Regions from separate parts of the Mus musculus genome. Here region 2 is reported to be linked to region 1. The links are microRNA targets in miRTarBase. Many come from high-throughput screens and were not tested one by one. Region 1 holds a microRNA gene; the other region holds the end of a gene's coding sequence.

Region 1 (3,407 bases):
AGTGTATGAGGGGAAGCTGCCAAACCTTATCAAAGCAGGCAGAGATTGGGAGCGCTGGAACCGGCTGGAGCCGGCGGTCCAACTTCCTAGGAATCTATTGTAAAGATACACTTGTGCACAAAGAACAGGATGTCCACTCAAGGACTGCAATGGGCGAACAATGCCTGTCTAAAGGTCTAAGTATTAGCTATTCCATCAGCGGGACACAACCGAGCAGTGCAGCTCCACCTGTATTAACCGAAAGAGGTGAAATATACTGTGAAAGTGTGTTTTTACCGACAATTTTGATTTTTTTAACGGTTTGCATAAATTAGGGGTTTTGTCGGTACAGTGAATTTTTAAAAACTATGCATACTGGCACTTGGTGAAGTGAAACGCTCACTCTGTGCAAAGCTAGTTTTGTCACTTGTCAGAAGGGGACAAGACAGTAACTCTTGCCTCTAGCTGGCAGGCAAAGCCTGTCAACTCCAACCTGTCTCCTTTCGTGAAGAAAGCAGACAACCCCAGAAATGCAGATTTCTGGGCCCCATTCCAGATCCACCGAAATGGAATCATGAAATGACCACAGAGATCTGCCTTTTTTAAAAAACAAAACAAACAAACAAACAAAAAAACAAAACAAGATCCACTCGAGATTCCGGAGGCGGGGTGGGGTGAGGTGAGGTGGTGTACTTCTAATGCCTTCGGACTAGCTTGCGCATCCTGTTTTCTTGACCCTGCTGGCAGTCACTGTCAAGCTCCAGACGTGGAATGTCACTCGAGACCCAGGCCTATCTCAAGCTCTCATTTAGGCCAAGGTCGAGCACCTGGATTCTCTACTGCCTCCCTGTTCTCTCGACTGGGATCGGTCCGGGTCTGCTAAAGGGGTCTGAAAGCTCCCGGAACTCCAGGTAAGGGTTGCGGAGAGCAGCGGGAATGGTGTGTGGCTGTGCTGGGAATTAAGCCGTTTAGAATACAAAGAAAAGGAGTAAAAGACAGAAATCAAAGATAATTTCCTCGGTGACAAAAGAAAAATGTTCCGACTCCGCCGGGACTCGAACCCGGAACCTTTGAATGCCTTCAGCCTCTAGAAGTCCAATGCGCTATCCATTGCGCCACGGAGCCACCTGTTGGAGGTTCCGCGCATCTGCCGTATTAAGCTAGAGGCAACGGCCCTGCTCCCGGGCCGACACCATCGCGGCCGCCTCCGTCGCCGGAGCCCACCCGCCGCGCCTAGGTCACCTCCAACGGTAACGGCGAGGCCGGCGAGCGCCCAGCCGCCCGGGAACCGCCGCTGCTCAGCTCAAGGGCCGCGGCTGCGGGCCGTGGGTCGGGAAAGCGCAGCGGGAGCCAGTCGTCCGTGGCCGACTCCGCCTGTCCCTCCCCGGCTCCCCGCCTGCCCCGCAACCCCGCCTACCGGTGTCCGGAGGCCGCTCCCCTCCGGCCCGGGCCGCCGAGGCTGCAGGCCCAGACCGGCCGTTGCGCCGTCGCGCCGGGCACTTCTGTCGCCACCTGCGAGAGGCGAGGGCGAGCGGCCGCGCCCGGGGCTACGAGGCGAAGGCGGCGACCCATCGCGGGGCCCCCGGGCTCTTCCCTGACGCCTGGACCTGCGGCTGCGAGTGCGGGCCGAGGCGACGTCTGTGTGCGTGCTTGTGCGTGTTTATCTGCGCGGGGCTTCGGGGAAACGGGGTTTGGGTTGCATTTCGCTCCCCACAGACCCAGAGCCGAATTTCTGAGGTATCCGGGCTCTGGTGGCCTGAGGGGGGCGACGCGCCCCGCACCGAGGCATCCTCCCGGGAGCTTTATCCACTATGCCGCCGCCGCCGAGGAGCGGCCGAGCCGCGCAGCCGCCGATGCCCGCGCGCGCCCCACGCGCGTCCGAGTGGGCGGCCTCTGGAGGCGGACGGCGCGGGTGGGGATCGCGCGGGTGCGAGCGCCTCGGCTGCAGGGCGCGCGGCCGAGCGTGATGGCGGGGTCCCCACATCCCCCACCCGCCCGGTGCCAGCGCTGGACCCCGCATTTCTTTGCTCAGAAGGGCGGGGTCGCCGCGAATCTGAGCGGCGGCGTGGGAGGGAGTGGGTCTTCGGTTCCCTAATCCCCTCCCCATCTCCATCAGGGCGACCCCGAAGCCCGAGGGAAGAGAACTAGCTAAATAATAAAAGCCCAGTTGCTAGGCAACGGCCGCTGCCAGACAAAAGCCCAGGCTCCGGCTCCAATCAGCGTGCGGCTCTCTCGACCCCGCCTTCTTAGGACTCGCGTGGTGCGACCTGACGCTGACACCTCTGCACCAAACCAGCTTCCGTCTGTGCCCACCGGGTGGTCTCTGCCAGGCAGAATTGGCCATCAAAGGATAGGGTCTTTGCCTCGCACGGTTCGCTAAAGGGGGAGAGGAAATTCTCAGTGGGGAAGGGCATTTTTATATTAAGGGGTAAGTATCAGCGTCCCCATTATCGAAGGGAAAACCGCAGCTACAGTAAGTTAAATCACACACATAGGAGTACCCCAGCTAGTGAGGCAAACTATAAAGAGTCAGACTTTATTCTACCTTGCAGGCTGATTACATTATCTTTCACGGCTTTATCGATATTGACAGAACACGTGTGGACTATTGACGACAAAAGCAGTAGCCAGAGGGGCAGCATGTTTATGAGTTCCCTGAACTCGGATTCTCTGAGGAACAAGGCATATGGGCCCCAGATGCATGCTTGCACACAAAATGGTTTTCATTACAGGCGAGGATTGCTGAGCTCAGAAACTACTATGTTTTATGGTGAGCGGCAAGCAAGCCTGTTCTTTGTTCTGTCGGGAGACATTACCTCATCTCAGAATTGCTCCTTGCAAACACAACTCTGAAATAGGGCCCAAAGAAAGTGATTGGCCTGGCGTTCTTGGCATACCCACCAAGAGCATGAAATGACACTGCTGGTGACTTGCCTCTACAGTGACAGAGTTCTGTCTGATGCCAGGCCTATTTCATTCCATAAGAGCACTTTCCTTAACAACAAGGGTCTTAAACATTGTTATGCCTCTTAAAATGGCCAATACCCCTTGAAATAGAACAATACATTAAAACCAGCTCTTTATAAACAGTATCTTTACTGAAGGCTGCAATATGTTACTCGCTGGTGACATCTCAAGGGCTCCAGTGGTTCTTAATACTTGTTTACGGCTCGCGTAGGGAAAGAGACACTCAATGCTCGCTGTGAAAACAATACAAAGAAATTTTACCTGGAAGCGTTGGTGCAAAATCTCCAATTCTGCGGCGTCGTGGACGTGCTTAGCGATTGTGACTCATACTCCAAGTTCTAAGGAAGGAACAATAAAGCATATGCTAAGGAGAGATGTGCAGGTAATCATAATGAACTAAAGAGTTGGAGATAGTTCATGCCTTCCGCTGGTTGAGACCTAAACATTCTCATCTATGAGCA
Region 2 (3,407 bases), not on the chromosome of region 1:
TTCGTCATGGTGTCTGTTCACAGCAATGGAAACCCTAACTAAAGCACCCTTTCCCCAATACTGGCTGTAGGAAGAGGAAAATTTGCTCTTAAGATGAAACTTACCCGATTGCTTCTACTAAGAGTCACATTAAGGCTAATGATGTGTAAGTGAAACAAAACAAAACAACAAAAACAAACTACTCCCAGGGTTATCAATTGTTGTGATAGAATTGTTCTGCAGTATTTGTCAAGAATATATGTTGCTTGGGGCTAGAGAGATGGCTCAGCAGTTCACAGCAATTGTTACTTTTGCAGAAGACCCAGGTTCAATTCCCATTTCCCACACAATGGCTTGTCCTTAGCTCCAGTGCCAGGGGGTCTGATGCCCTCTTGTGACAGCTATAGACACCAGGCATGCACAGGGGGCACATGCACGTATGAGGTCAATACTCTCATACACATAGAAACTGTAAACATTGAAAAAACAATGTAGTCTGAAACAGCTATGAAAAATAGAGGATTCTGGGGCTGGAGAGATGGCTCAGTGGTTAAGAGCACTGACTACTCTTTCAAAGGACCCAGGTTCAATTCCCAGAAACCACACGGAAACTTTCAACTGTCTATAACTCCAAGATCGGACACTTTCACACTGACATACATGCAGGCAAACCATCAATGCACATAAAATAAAAATAAATTATAAAAAATAGGACTCTACTTTCTGAGAATTTTCCAAATTATGTTGATTTTAAACTTAAGTTCATTTTTCTCTAATAAGCAGATTTTACAATCCCTAAGGAAAATAAAACCTGTTCAATAAATGAGTAAGGTGTTGGGGAAGGTCTAGCCCAAAGGCCCAAACTCCTACTATGCTTTCTCTTTCTTTCAATAACAGATCGTTCTCTCTTCACTGCTTGTTTTAACTGGATTCTTAGTGGCCTAGAGACCACCGCAGCAGTTTGGACTGTGTATTGAACCCATCTTTAAGCTTGAGTCTCAATAAAGATGTTGGGAGATGGTGGGACCTTTAACGGTTAATTAAACCGTAGGAGTTCTAACTTCATGAATAGAGTAGTGTCTTCAAGAGGCTGGATTAGGGCTTGGGGGCAGAGTGGATTGTTCTATAAAGCAGTAGTTCTCAGCCTTCCCAAGGCTGCGGCCCTTTAATACAGTTCTTCGTGCTGTGGTGACCCCCAACCATACAATTATCATATTATTGCTACTTCATACCTGAATTTTATAATACATTATGAGTCATAGTGTAAATATTCTGTTTTCTGATGGTCTTAGGCGACCCATGGGAAAGGGTGGTTTGGCCCCTGGGTGCTTCATTTCTTCCTCATGTACTATTATGGAATATGAGCAGCTGCTGCCCTTATCAGAGCCCTCAAGAACTTGGAATTAAATGAGCATTTCTGTCTTACAGAGTGCCCAGCTACAAGCACATTTCGTTATAACCATACAAAACAGACTGAGGTGAGGACTCTAGCTGGCTGGAACCTACTATTAGCCAACAGGAAGGAGGCAAGCGTGACCTTTGTAATTCAAAGAGATTTGTTCTGACCTTCAGCCCCTCTCCCCGCCTCGGCTTGGGATGAGTGGTAAGTACAAGGCTGACTGGATCTCTAGATTGCCTGTGGATCAGCTCATCTACGGATGGTCGAACTTGAAGTCCCGTGTCCCCTCCTGCAGCAGCTTTCTCTGTACCCTAATCTGCACAGCTCTGGGTATATGACTTCTTTCCCTGATGAGTCCCACCAAGAGTCTTCTACCCACTAAGTAAATTGGACTTATTAAAACACCCCCCCAAAAAAAAACTCTACCACATTCATGTAATTAAGTAACATTTATTTTACATAAAACAATTTTCAAAGAATACATTTAAAAACCATCTGGATACTGATTTGATAGCATTACAAAAAAATTGAGAGGCACAATTGAAGTATTCAAATAAATGGTGCGGGTGAAGGTGGGGGTCTATACCTGCTGTCCACCGTGTTTCCTGTGACTCCCATACAGGAGCCTTCCCATGAGGCAGTAGTGCACTTGGAGTAAATTGAATAAATCACATAAAATATATACTTTTATACAGAAAGTGTTATTGTATCATCACTTTCAATTACTTATAAAAACTTCATTTGGAATTGCACAAAAGTTCTCTTTAAAACTGATAATTCCCAGAAGACAGGGCTTAGAACTCTATGTCTAAATAATTCATTACAAATTAATTAGATCTCTATTTCTCCACAGATAGAAAACAATCTATGAAGAATTAATCATTTAAGTGGGACATTTAAAATTTCTTTTCATAGGAAAATAGGTTTATACATTTGTCCCTAGTCAGCTAAACTTTCTCCCCCCTACTTTAAAATAGATCACAGGGTATTCAGAACTTTCCGAGGCAGTACCTGTGCCACAGTACTGTGTGTGTGTGTGTGTGTGTGTGTGTGTCCCCTCAGCCCATCTTGTCTATCCCTCTGCTGCAGTATCCAATTATCAAAAAGGCACATGGCTACATTCTTCAGAACAGTTTTGGTCTTAAAAAAAATTCAGACACTTATAAGCCGTGATTCCAATCATGTTTTCAAACAAAAATACTAGACAAGCCCATTTCTCAAGGCAGGCAATAGAGAATCCACGAGTCCCTCGGCAGACGGCACGTCACTTTCCGTAGAACTTCTTGTTGAGCAGGTATATGAGAAGGTTCACGTTCACTTTCACCTTGTCGAACATTTTCATCACGGCCACCCCTTCATACTGCATCTGAAGTAAGTCCTGGAACGGGAGGGAAGGGTGACATCGCAGTGTGACGTCGTTGCTTAAAAACAGACTGGAAGAATCAATGATGAAATAGACCCGGCTGATCCAATAATCCCACTGTGGCTTCCAAAGCATTAGTCGGCTTAACAATACAGGTGAGTTAGGACTTGGAATCCCGTGCCCTGGGCCTGGGGACTTGTGCTATGGCAGCTCTGTGGTGAGAGCTGCATTTTAACAAGTTCCTAAGTGACAGTGAGTGGTGCTGTGGTCAGGACACACTTAGAGAATTACTGCTCTGCGTGGAAGAAAATGACTTTAATGATAGAGAGAGGGCTGCAGTTATAATTTGGGGGTACAGAGCTAGTTTGTGTGTGAGAGCTTTTGGCCTTGAGCTTCAGCACTGGGAAAAAAAACTGCATGAAAGAAAATTATTATCCAGTTAATATCAGACACGATTTTCATTTCAGTCTTACAATTAAAAAATTTTGTGTGTGTGTGTGTGTGTGTGTGTGTGTGTGTGTGTCCGTCCATGCATGTGGAGGTCAGAGGACAACATGTGAAAGTTCTCTCCTTCCACCATCTGAGTTCCAGGAATTAAACTCAGGGCTTTCGAAGCCCTGGTTTTTTTTTGTTTTTTTGTTTGTTTTTTTCGAGACAGGGTTTCTC

Evidence for each region. Region 1 holds the annotated microRNA mmu-miR-760-5p (CCCCUCAGGCCACCAGAGCCCGG, at 1,721-1,743, opposite strand). A microRNA usually pairs through its seed, bases 2 to 8, with sites in the 3' UTR of a target mRNA and lowers its output. Matches are read on the target gene's strand: a 7mer-m8 pairs with bases 2 to 8, a 7mer-A1 pairs with bases 2 to 7 and ends in A, and an 8mer does both.
Region 2: miRTarBase lists Iqgap2 as a target of mmu-miR-760-5p. Seed matches in the 3' UTR shown: 7mer-m8 at 2,434-2,440.

Annotation. Positions count from the first base shown.
Region 1 is chr3:122,291,929-122,295,335 of GRCm38, forward strand. Mir760 (microRNA 760) reads right to left here and starts at 1,775; the gene lies at 1,657-1,775. It overlaps n-TRtct2 (a tRNA gene), which reads right to left and starts at 1,104; the gene lies at 1,020-1,104. It also overlaps Gm40190.
Region 2 is chr13:95,625,365-95,628,771 of GRCm38, forward strand. Iqgap2 (IQ motif containing GTPase activating protein 2) reads right to left here. Exons shown (of 36, transcript NM_027711.1): 36 at 1,813-2,756. The coding sequence ends at 2,643. Among named protein-coding and RNA genes, the nearest start is that of F2r, 8.6 kb to the left of the region's middle.